3 linked regions of the Macaca mulatta genome follow. The protein of the gene in region 1 purifies or fractionates together with the protein of each later gene. This does not show direct contact. Links are inferred from orthologs where the notes say so. Each region holds a gene or a part of one and is shown in the gene's direction. Other genes may lie near its edges.

Evidence for each region.
Region 2: the proteins of centrin-2 (region 1) and USP49 purify together in Homo sapiens (affinity purification with mass spectrometry; 3 studies listed by BioGRID and IntAct, with this or other methods). This does not show direct contact. The link is inferred for Macaca mulatta from reciprocal best matches to the Homo sapiens genes CETN2 and USP49.
Region 3: the proteins of centrin-2 (region 1) and USP44 purify together in Homo sapiens (affinity purification with mass spectrometry; 4 studies listed by BioGRID and IntAct, counting the BioPlex papers as one, with this or other methods). This does not show direct contact. The link is inferred for Macaca mulatta from reciprocal best matches to the Homo sapiens genes CETN2 and USP44.

The regions. Positions count from the first base shown.
Region 1 is NC_133426.1:159,105,900-159,110,149, reverse strand, and holds the start of centrin-2, read left to right. Parts: upstream 1-1,344; 5' UTR 1,345-1,368; coding exon 1,369-1,371; exon of another isoform or gene 1,372-1,737; intron 1,738-2,319; coding exon 2,320-2,478; intron 2,479-2,800; coding exon 2,801-2,929; intron 2,930-3,399; coding exon 3,400-3,537; intron 3,538-4,126; coding exon 4,127-4,216; 3' UTR 4,217-4,250. UniProt on the Homo sapiens protein: Plays a fundamental role in microtubule organizing center structure and function. Required for centriole duplication and correct spindle formation. Has a role in regulating cytokinesis and genome stability via cooperation with CALM1 and CCP110.
Region 2 is NC_133409.1:140,375,255-140,378,877, forward strand, and holds part of USP49 (ubiquitin carboxyl-terminal hydrolase 49), read left to right. Parts: intron 1-577; coding exon 578-686; intron 687-1,575; coding exon 1,576-1,781; coding exon of another isoform or gene 1,782-1,879; exon of another isoform or gene 1,880-2,062; intron 2,063-3,623. UniProt on the Homo sapiens protein: Deubiquitinase that plays a role in several cellular processes including transcriptional regulation, cell cycle progression or innate immunity.
Region 3 is NC_133416.1:102,884,561-102,888,860, reverse strand, and holds the start of USP44 (ubiquitin carboxyl-terminal hydrolase 44), read left to right. Parts: upstream 1-1,412; 5' UTR 1,413-1,542; intron 1,543-4,300.

The DNA.
Region 1 (4,250 bases):
GAGAAGAGTTGTGGAGTGATGGGAGGGGACACGTCGTGCCAAGCTTTGGAGACCATGATGAGAACTCTGGCTCGTACTACTTGGGGGGATGATGATGACCCAAAAATTAGGAGTCTGTTCACTGCTGAAGAGGGCAAAGGGCAGAAGCTCCATTTAAAAGGTTCTAATAAGCCTCAGGCCTTTCTCTGCCTGAAAAACTTACTTTCTGCCCTCTACTTCCCTAGATTACTGCCCCAGTGCCTGGAGGAAAATCAGGTGAAGGCTAAAAGCCACGTAGACAGCTAAAGAGGGCAAACTGGACCTCCAGCTCCACTTCTGCAGGTCTGTCTCAGTCCACACAGCCCTTGCACACGCTCCCTTTTAATTCTCCAAGCATACCTCTCACTTCCAAAACTCCTGTGACTCTGCTGATGAGGGCGTCTCGGCCTGGAATGCTCCTCCTTATCTGCACTGTGTGGGTGTCAAAAAGAGTATATTTTGATGACCTCTCCCCGCCCCTCTTGCTTGCTCACATCCCCTTCACTCCTTTCAAAGTCCGTTCCCAAAGCCCCCAGTTCACCGTCCTGGGCTGTTTTTAGCCAGGTAAGACCTGAAGTGATCCTCTCTTGGAACCTGGTCTGGGGCCTACACATCTGGGTCAGTCTGGGGGTGCTCTCGAAGGGCCACCCTCAAAGAGCGAGCCTCGGCTGGATTCAGTTCCTAGGTCCCAGCCGTCCGACCTCTGCCACAACGCTCAGCAGACCCCTTCCCCTCTCCGGGTCTCAGTTGCCCCGTGAGTACAGTCCCTGCTCCAACACGCAAGGTCAATCGTCTCTGGCTGCTCTGATGCACTCGGTCCCTAACTCAGCCTTAGGTCAGCACAGAAAGCACCCGACCCGGGCGGCCCCGCAGCTCCTCACCCTCCCGCCCCGCCCAGTCGCTGACACAGGGTGGCCTCCAAGGGCAAGGCCACGACTCTTACCCGTCCGCAGGTGCCCCACTGGCTGGCCTCAGCTCGCAAGCAGGCTGCACCCACCGAACTCCAGCCCCGGAACGCCACCCTTTACTCCCCTCCCGCGTGAGCCGAGAATCAGCCGAGCTTCTTCTACCAAGAGGATTGGCCCAGCTCGGCGTCGGCTCAGCCAATTGGCGCTCACGGCTTGATCTTGCCCAATAAAGACAGGTCTCTGTCCCCAGCGTGCCCCTCCCCGCGCTGGGCCTGGGCTTTGCCAGGTTAGTCCCACCCTCTTCGGCCCTGCACCAGTAGGGAGCGGCGGCGGCGAGCGGACGCCCAATGGGGAGCGGGGCTGTGCGCGCGGGGCGGTGGGAGCGGCGCCGAATCAGTGTACACGTCGGTTGCCTAACAACCGGCCGTGGACTCCTTTGGCTATGGTGAGTGCTGCCGCTCTGTCGCGCCCCACGCCCAGAGGCTGAGCCCTTCCCAGGCCCCAGCTCGGCCACGCCGCCTCTCCTGCGCCTTTCTCGGCTTTGACGCACCAGTCCTTCCTTTGAGCTCTTTCCCGGAAGAGTAGGGTACAGACGCTAACCAACCTACTGGGCCTGCGCTTTGCTGCTGCCTCCCCTTCACCCACAACAGGCCCACACCCGCCCCTCGGGCTCCCCTGGCCTTCCCTGATCACCTCGGTGAACCTCCCTGGGCAAAAAAGACTCGAATCCCTCACAGGCCCCTGACTTTCTCAGACCTTGGCCCCCTGGCCGCCTCATTCTGCCAAAATTTCCACACAGAGCTGGGAGAAGGTGTATTGTGTTCTATTAAAGTGTTTTTTACAATTTAAATATAGGGGCATTCAGGGGATGCTGTAGCTTCTTGGAGAAGGCACGAAGGTGTCAGATGGATTGAGTTTTATTACTCGATACTGACACAATATACATCTTAACAACTTGCTAATATTTGGCCAAATCTAGAAGTAATTGGGAAGTCAGAGTGCTTACTGGGAAGCGGAGTACTGGGAGTGGGCATTGTAAGGCAGTTTCCAGAACCAGGATCCCCACATTCGGGAAGAGCTGATTATCTCTACTTATTCGCAGTCATTTTCTTGACTAGCTCTCTTTTGGGATGATTTTCAGTAAGAGGTATCCTTACTGAACAAGTGATCTCCCTGCTTCTAGAAACGACAGTAAAGAAAAGGGAGGGATAGAAGTTCATGGAAAGATTCATTGTTCTTGCCAGTAAACCCTGTTATCTTTCTTGTTAAGCAAAGCTTTGGAATTGGTTGCCATAAAATTATTTAAAACTACATATGGGTGTCTGTAACTATGTTATGTAAATATGGACTGTACGATATATTATTGTGCTTGTGTATTGCATAACGTATGAAGGCCTCCAACTTTAAGAAGACAAACATGGCATCAAGTTCCCAGAGAAAAAGAATGAGTCCTAAGCCTGAGCTTACTGAAGAGCAGAAGCAGGAGATCCGGGAAGCTTTTGATCTTTTCGATGCGGATGGAACTGGCACCATAGATGTTAAAGAACTTAAGGCAAGCTCTATGCATTCCTGCCGTACTGCCCTTCCTTTCCTCTGCCTCTTCCTTGTCATCTCCCTATCACCTCTCTACCCCTTTTGCCCTCTTCTCCCTGCAATAAGTAACAGGGGAGGTTGTACTGTGCTCTGTTTTCCTGTCTTTACTTAGAGTATTATTAAATAAAATTGATTGCAAATGTCAATTAGATCAATGTTATAGTGTTCCCCAATCATATTAACATGACCACATCAGATGCTGGCTTAATGCTCTCAACACTGTTGTTTTTGCTGCTGCTAGTTCAGATGTGCTTATTGAGACAATCCTGTTTTCATTATAGGTGGCAATGAGGGCCCTGGGCTTTGAACCTAAGAAAGAAGAAATTAAGAAAATGATAAGTGAAATTGACAAAGAAGGGACAGGAAAAATGAACTTTGGTGACTTTTTAACTGTGATGACCCAGAAAATGGTGAGTAGCTAAGACAATTTGCATGGTATGGCGCCCCAGTCATCTGCAGAGGCCCATGGCATCTGCCTGTTAAAACAGTCATGTGACCACAGAGCAGTCCAGGTAGCAGCTGCATCAGGAGGCCTGCCCTCCCATCATGTTACCTTGGGCTCCCAAAACAAGCCCTTGTACTTCTTTCTCAAGACTTCCAAGCAGATACCTCTTCCCACAGAATTCTAAACCAGTTAGGAAATAGATATGGGATAGGGAGAGATATAGGGATAGGGAGCAAACGTCACCTTGGATGGAGTGCCTGGCTTGACTGGTGTTTCTCTGAGGCCAAAATGGGCTTCCTGACACTTGCTGCAAGTCTAGACTCGAGTTACATTGTTAAAAAGGAAAGGGTGACCTGACCGGGCAGTGGCAGGGCTACAGGACATGAGTAACCATGGTGTCCCCCTACTCATGTGTTTCATGTTCTATTTGGTAAGTCTGAGAAAGATACCAAAGAAGAAATCCTGAAAGCTTTCAAGCTCTTTGATGATGATGAAACTGGGAAGATTTCGTTCAAAAATCTGAAACGCGTGGCCAAGGAGTTGGGTGAGAACCTGACTGATGAGGAGCTGCAGGTTTGTAATGCATCACACTGGAACTTAAGATTCCCACCTTTGGGCCCTCTGTGACTTTTCTGTTACATTTTCCCTAGTGTGAGCACTTCTTTGAAGGAAAGCCAGTGTACTTTGTCCCTCTGTGGACAACTGAATTCTCCTTTAATAGTCAGACAAACCTATGAACGCTGCTTCCAGAAAAATGCACATAGGCACAGTTTTGCCTACTATTTTACATTCCAGGAATCCCTCTAGTCAAGGTAATCTTCAAGCTCCCTCCCAGGTGATAATGTTTGACAAAGTATGAGTTGGTTTTCAAATAAGTTTTCAGGAACCAAGCTATTATCAGGAGTGGCATACTGGCATTGGGTGGACTACAATTATCTATTCACATAGTGTTATTAAAAGTCTATTGCTTGCCAGGCACAGTGGCTCATGCATGTAATCCCAGTACTTTAGGAGGCTGAGGCAGGAGGATCGCTTGGGGCCAATAATTTGAGAGTAGTGTGGGCAGCATAGAGACCCCGTCTCTAAAAAGAGTCATATTACTTAGTCACCTTTTGGCATTAGTTTATAAATTAATCTAACCTGAATCTTTACTGTCATATAGGAAATGATTGATGAAGCTGATCGAGATGGAGATGGAGAGGTCAGTGAGCAAGAGTTCCTGCGCATCATGAAAAAGACCAGCCTCTATTAAGATCAGTGTCTTCTTTTTCTACTGCAAGCACATG
Region 2 (3,623 bases), on another chromosome or scaffold:
TTGCTGTTGCACGTTCCATTATATTCCATTATACGCAAAGTTCCTGATGGCAAAAATTGGAAAGATTTGAGTTGCTTGTAACAGTCGACCCAAATAACAGTGACTTAAAATGAGAGGTATTATTTTTCTGTTACATAAAACAAGTCTGAAGGACATTCAGGGCCAGCATGGTGGCTGCATGGTCATCATTGACCCAAGCTATTTCTGTCTTTCTGTTTTACTATCCTGTTGCAAGACTTCTGTCTTCAAAGTTACCTTTTGGTCCAGGAGGAATTCCAGTAGTTTCAGATAGTGGGAAGGCCAAAGGGATGCACCTTACAAGTGAGTCAGCCTTGTATAAGCAGAGTCCCATACAGTCATTCCTTTCATCTTAGCCAGAACTTCCATGGCCACACCATGCAGGCTTGTGAAGCCGGGAAATGCAGTCATAAAGGGGGTCACATTGCACTCCCCAAAAAATTGAGGTTCAGGTACTTAGAAATATGGAGAATGCATATTGAATGGCAAGTCACTGTCTCTGCCATAGCTAGAAAAAACTCTTCACAACCTATGTCTTATACCTTCCCAAACCACATAGGCAAACGACGAAAATCCAATCCCAAACCCCTTGTTCTGAGTGAAGCTAGAAAGCAGTTAATGATCTACAGACTACCTCAGGTTCTCCGGCTGCACCTTAAAAGATTCAGGTGAGCTTGCTGTGGGAGTCCTAGCTGGGTGAGAGCTGTGGGAATAGCTGCTCCAAAGGCTTTGGTGAGGGCAAATGTCTTCTATGGTGTTGGGAGGGGAAGCCTGTTCACTTGAGACCTTGTGTTTTCCATGGAGATTAAATCATTCACATCCACTAAGGCAAATTAATGTGGGAGCCCAGCAGGACTGGGCTTTTGCTGTCATGCGCCTGTGTAATTAATTATCCAGCCTGCACTGGGTATCTGTGCTTAAAGATTTTCTAGCCTGGCTTGGACTTATGTAGAGGTTCATCTTCAGGATGAAATATAAAATAATCTGGAAAAGAAGGGCAGGCAGGAAACTACAAAAAGACTGTTGCTTGAATTGCTTGTTTAGGGATCTCTAGGTTTAGAGTACTTCATGGAACATTCACAGCAAATAAATGGGCCAGGCGCAGTGGCTCATGACTGTAACCCTAGCACTTTGGGACGCCAAGGTAGGCAGACTGCTTGAGCTCAGGAGTTCAAGACCAGCCTGGGCAACATGGTAAAACCTTGTCTCTACAAAAAATACAAAAATTAGCCAGGCGTGGTGGTGTGCACCTATAGTCCCACCTACTTGGGAGGCTGAGGTGGGAGGATCACCTGAGCCTGGGAAGGTTGAGGCTGCAGTGAGCCTTTATTGATCACACCACTGCACTGCAGCCTGGGCAACAGAGTGAGACCCTGTCTGTAAATAAATAAATAAATAAATAAATAAATGTGAACATTGATTACCACCATTTTATTGATGGGAAGACCAAAACCAGAAGGTTTAATTTTCTCAGTTCCCTGTTTTATTAATACCTACCTCTACCTACAATTGTATATGCCGGTTTTTACTAGTAACAAGCTTATATCCATGTTCTAGGTGGTCTGGCCGTAACCATCGAGAGAAGATTGGGGTCCATGTCGTCTTTGACCAGGTATTAACCATGGAACCTTACTGCTGCAGGGACATGCTCTCCTCTCTTGACAAAGAGACCTTTGCCTATGATCTCTCCGCAGTGGTCATGCATCACGGGAAAGGGTTTGGCTCAGGACACTACACAGCCTATTGCTACAACACAGAGGGAGGTGCGTGCGCTTTACTCTGTGGGGTGGGGGACACGGAAAGGGGTTATTTGTCCACATTTTATTGTTTTCCTTTTATTTCCATCCCATGGATTACCTAGAGGGAAATTACATACATGAAAATCCAATGGCAAGAATTGTGAAAGTTGGGTCAGGCGCCGTGGCTCACACATGTAATCCCAGCACTTTGGGAGGCTGAGGTGGGTGGATCACCTGGGGTCAGGAGTTTGAGACCAGCCTGGCCAACATGGTTAAACCCTGTCTCTATTAAAACAGTACAAAAATTAGCCGGGAGTGGTGGCGGGCACTGGTAATCCCAGGTACTCAGGAGGCTGAGGCAGGAGAATCGCTTGAACCTGGGAGGCAGAGGTTGCAGTGAGCCAAGATTATGCCACTGCACTTCAGCCTGGGTGACAGAGCAAGACTCTTATCTCAAAAAGAAAAAAAGAATTATGAAAGTTGGATTCAAATTTTGGGTATATTACTAAGTAACAACGTATGGTTGTTCTAAGAATTAAAAGGAACTGACATGTAAAAGTGCTTAGAACAGGACCTAGGCCCTGTGCAATGGCTCACGCCTGTAATTCCAACACTTTGGGAGGCAGAGGCGGGAGGATTGCTTGAGGCCAAGGGTTCAAGACTAGCCTGGGCAACATAGTAAAAACTTACCCAGGCGTAATGGTGTGCACCTGTGGTCCTAGCTACTTGGGAGGCTGAGGTGGGAGAATTGCTCGAGCCCAGGAGTTTGAAGTTGCAATGAGCTGTGATTTCACCACTGCATTCTAGCCTGGGCAAGAGAGTGAGATCCTGACTCAAATAAATAAATAAAAAGAGCAGTTGCCTAGCACATAGTGCTTATTCAGTCACTGTTTGAGGATATTGTAGTATTATCAAAAATATTGGTTATTGATAATATTACTATTGTTGTGGTAATGCTACTTCTGCACACCCCAGTTTCCTTCTTGGTTATGCAGAAACAGTAGAACCTGTGTAACCTCAAGGAGATACTGTATAAATCTCACTAGCCGCAGCTTATAAAGCTGAGAACATTTACTGAGCACTTACTATGTTCTTACTACTTCCCCCGCCATGGGAAGTGTGGGGATGCAAGGGCCCCTCCAAAGGTGCTTTAGGTCCTCATCCTCCAGAGTGGAGTCTTCCAGCTACTGCACTGACTGATGGGCTGCAGATGTGTTTTCAGCTGTTCACTGTTCTTGAACTGCACAGCCCTTGGGGCAGCCAGAGCCTGTGAATAAATACTTTTGTTCCTTCTAAATTTTCCTTTATCACTCCCCTCTATTTCCATTTCTCCTCTCCTCCTCCCCTTCCTCCTCATCTTCCTCCTCATCTCCCCATTGCTTAGCCTGCAGTATTGCAGCTATCTTTCTAGAAGGCTCTAGTGGACAATAAAAAAGCCTGAAGAAAACAAAGATAAAAATTGCAGTCAGTCGGCCAGGCGTGGTGACTCATGCCTGTAATCCCAGCACTTTGGGAGGCCGAGGTGGGCGGATCACGAGGTCAGGAAATCGAGACCATCTTGACTAACATGGTGAAACCCGTCTCTACTAAAAATACAAAAAATTAGCCAGGTGTGGTGGCGGGCGCCTGTAGTCCCAGCTACTCGGGAGGCTGAGGCAGGAGAATGGCGTGAACCCGAGAGGTGGAGCTTGCAGTGAGCCGAGATCCCGCCACTGCACTCCAGCCTGGGCGACAGAGCAAGACTCCATCTCAAAAAAAAAAAAAAAAAAAATTGCAGTCAGTTGATAAGCGGTACTGTGGGGTTTGGTGGGGTTAAAGCCAGTGGATACACAGAGGTCTGTCGGTTTCATTTACTTGTCCCTTCCC
Region 3 (4,300 bases), on another chromosome or scaffold:
TGCAGTTGTAACCTTCATGTACATATTTGGTATTTTTCAAACACGAATTGATTAGACATTGTTGCTATTTTGTTATCTATATTGTTAACATAAGAACTTCCTGTGTAACTATATCAGAATTTTTTTTTTTTTTTGAGACGGAGTTTCGCTCTTGTTGCCCAGGCTTGAGTGCAATGGCGGATCTCGGCTCACCACAAACTCCGCCTCCTGGGTTCAAGCGATTCTCCTGCCTCAGTCTACCGAGTAGCTGGGATTACATGCGCCCGCCACCACGCCCAGATAATTTTTGTAGTTTTAGTAGAGACAGGGTTTCACTATGTTGGCCAGGCTGGTCTCGAACTCCAGACCTCAGGTGATCCACCCGCCTCAGCCTCCCAAAGTGCTGGGATTACAGGCGTGAGCCACTGCGCCTGGCCTCTATGTCGGATCTTAATTAGCCATTTCCTGTTAGAATCCTGCCCCGCTCCTTCTTGCCTTTTCCAGTGTTTGGATAATATGCTGTGAATACCTTTGTGCACTCATTTCTTTATTCAGGTCATACCACTGAAACATACTCCCCAGAATAAAATTGATGATGAAAAGATAGGAACAATTTTATAGCTTGTCTTACATATTGAAGATTTTGCACTGCACTGATGTATTGTTAACTCTGCATGTTTGTCTTCTTTCTAAGCTCTCCTTGAAGAGTTTTTAAATTTTCAGTATACTCCACAGGGTGGCCAAAGTAGAACTGGCTCGTCATTGAGTATAGGTTCAGTTAAAAACAAAAATCTGGCTCAGAGTTGAACACAAAGAATCCAATAAATATAAATGGGTTAATTTTCAGGTACCTTAGCCTTGACTAGTTCCTGTTTTCCAGATGTCCCCTCCTTTTCCTTTTAGATATCTACTTCATTATTTAAACGGGCAATTTCGGCTTAGGCAGTTCTGGATAGCGGTGCCCCTCCTGTATCCATTCTGGAACCTCTCTCGCCCTTCTGCTGTGCAAGGAAACCCAATTCACAGCCGTCATCCCCACTGAAGTTACACCCAGGGGTCGCTTCAAGAGGGAAACGTTTTCTGTAAGAATTTCTATGCCAGTAAATTGGGGAAGGTTTTAAAGATAACGGAATTTGCCACGCGTTTCTGCCAAACAATTCGACGTTGTGTAAATCGCAGAAATTCCGGGAAGGACTAACGACGTCCGTGGATGATTCTGCGGCTCATAGGCACACAGGACACTCAGGGTTTACCCTCCCGGGTTCCGACGGCACGACAGGTGCGAAGCCCGCCCGGGGAAGCAGTGCTTGTTGTCGGCGCAGACCCACGTGCGGCGCTGGGGACCGTCTGTGGTCCCGACCCCCCCCCCCACGAGGCGCGGAAGGCGGCCGCCGGCAGGTTCTCCCTGCCCGTGCAGAGCCGGCCCGGGGGCGGGGCTGTGGGAGGGGCGGGGCCTGCCGCGCGTCACTGCTGTCGTAGCCGCCGGACCGGGTCGCCGCGGCCGCCGAACCGGGGGGCGGGGGGCCGGGGTGAGCGCTAAGATGGCCGCCCCGGCTCGGGCTGGTGAGTGTGAGCGAGGGCGCGGGCCGCGGCGACTGGCGGAGTGAGGACCCCTGCGGGAGCGGACATGCGACGGCAGCCCCCGGGCCGGGAGGCACCTGGGGGAGTATTCCCGCCGCGCAAGGCGCTGGGGTCCTGAGGGAGGGAGAGACGGGGGCTGCGGGCGCGCGGAGGGGAGCGAGCCGAGGGGCGCGCGGCGGCGACGGGTCCGGCGAATTTTGAAGTGGCCCCCTGGGAAGTTTCAGTGGGTTCTGCGGTGCTCGGCCCCGTCCCGGCGGCCGCCTCACGAGTGCCCGGAGATGCGGCGGCCAGGGGCAGCGGGCTGGAGCGGGCGAGCTGGGAGAGAACCGGCGCGGGCGAGGGCTTCGAGGACGCGGAGGGGCTTCGCGCTGACCCCGGCACGAGCGTCGCGGAGAGGCTGGCGCGGGCTGGGTGCTGTGTGGAGCACGCACTGCCCGGGTCCAGCCGCATCCTTCCCGCTGCCCGGATTACCGCGAGGGGATGCTCGAAGCCCCAGGGCGCTTCGGGAGGGCGGTTGTGGCGCTCGGTTTACCGGCGTCTTGCCCGTCTCGTCTCCATCGATCGGTCCCCGCGCTGCCGGCACCTGCTGCCGCTTAAAGATCCCAGTGCTTGAAAATCAGCTTCCTAAAGCCATTCCCGATGGCCTTAGATGGGAAAGAATGCCATATGGCTGAATTCATTATGGGGGATAAGAAATATGTCAGTGTGGGCGGAGGGGAACCTGTTAATACGTTCAAATTTAAGAGTAGGTAAGACACTATTCCCCGCCCCCATGAAAAAAGAAAGTGAAATATAGTAATTGTTTCAAATGCAAGTTTGAGCTGTTGTTAAATTCTACTGATAGCTGGATAATTTCTCGCATTTTTTATACTGCAAGCAAAACCATTTAGGAACCTTGGGAGGTTCACTTTCTCCTCAGACCAGTCCCCAAGTCCCCCACTCCCGCCACCTTTTAAGCCTTAATTGTATCTGGGCAAGTAACGGGGATTGTGAAATTTGCATGGAAATAAGACCTTCAGGTCCTGCACTTGAATTTTTTATTATCTGTTAAGTAGCTGCCTGTGGGGGTGAAGTAGGGCTGGTGACTTTTGGGGCCTGGGATTCCATTTTGAGTTGTGTTCACCACGAGCATTTGGTGTAAACAAGGAAAAAGAATGGGCTGTTCACTGTGGTGAAATTCGGAAAGCCAAATAGGAGTTAAGCACATGCTTATAGAATATTTCATAATCTCAATGAGATTCAATATTCAGTTGCCTTGAAAGAGATGAAAGTTTGTATTCTTGGAACTCTAATCGTTTTGTCCTTAATTTAGCATCTTGGGATATTTTAAAGAGCGTTTAAATGTTTTGGCACATTCAAGTTTTCTCTCCCCATTCTAGCTTTTTTCACACTAGCCATTAGTTTTGCATATGTTCGATGTCAGATTTTTCAGTCCAGTAGTTATCACTGTGGACTATCCAAATTCAAATGTAGAGATATTCTAATATTGAACAGTTAGTCCAGTGCATACAGTTTAGAAAGTTGAAATATTTTGACTACTTCGTGTTTTTCTTCCCAAATGTTAATTGTTTGAGATTTTTTTAGCTTAAAAAATTTTAAGTGATGAATGAACCCGCATTTAGTATACTATACAATGGTACACCTTTTGGAATATTTAAAATGTAGAATCTGTTGAAGATTTGGGTTAGATATTTGAAATAAATTTTCTAGCCAGTTGTCTTTCTCCCTTTTCTACAGATTTATCTTTACTACAAAAAAAGAAAGTGTCATATACACTCTACCAAACTTCTCCTCTACACACTTGAATCTTACTATTACAGCGTTTTGGTTGTGCATAGAGAATTTTTCTGCTCATTGGGTTGAGGGCAGAGGCTGTGTTTTATATGTGTATCTTTAGTAGCTGACTAACTGCTTAACGTGGAGGAAAAACCGCTGTGTAAATTTGCTGAATTGGGGTTTTGAATGGTAGAGGATACAGAAATTTGGCTTCTTGGTAGCCAAAAAAAACAAAAAAACAAAACACGTGCTTCGAAGTCTCTGTCCTTCCTGCAGTGTTAGGCAGAACAAACGTGGGTGCCAGGTTCTAATGGAGTTGTCTGGTCCAGGGAGATTAGCCAGAGGCTGGGGCAGGGGCTCAGGAGTCTAATCAAGATAGGCAATAAATCGTGTGCCCGAATAATTCTCTGGTAACGGGGGACAGTTTTGCTATTAGGCCCAGCCTAAATAGGTGACAAATAACTGAAATACAGAAGGATTCTACAAATAATGGCCTTATGGCTAAAAGATCGTTGTAAAAGTTGTAACTGATATTCACAGCAATTTTAGACACCATAAAAAAGTTTATTAGGAAGAATTCATTTTTGATGGAGTTTTACACGTCATAGGAAAAAGGTAATTTGTAGTCTAACAATATACTTGCTAGATCAGCTCATAGATGTGCTAGAATGACATAGTCTAGGCATTTTACGGACAGAGTATTTGAATTCAATTTTTCAGACCCATGGTAGGATACTCAGTATTACTCTGAATGTTTCTCTCATTGTTACAAAGTTAGCTGCAGTAGATTGACGTGTAAATATGTTGATGTGACACGATGAGAAATGTTTTGGAACAAAATTACTTGTTAAGTAGGGATGGGGGTGAGAAATTCAAATAACCTGGAGACAGAAACTGCTTTCAGTAGCTTTATCTTACAACGTGTTCAACTAGATTCAATCTTTGCTTCAGGAGAGGTATGTTA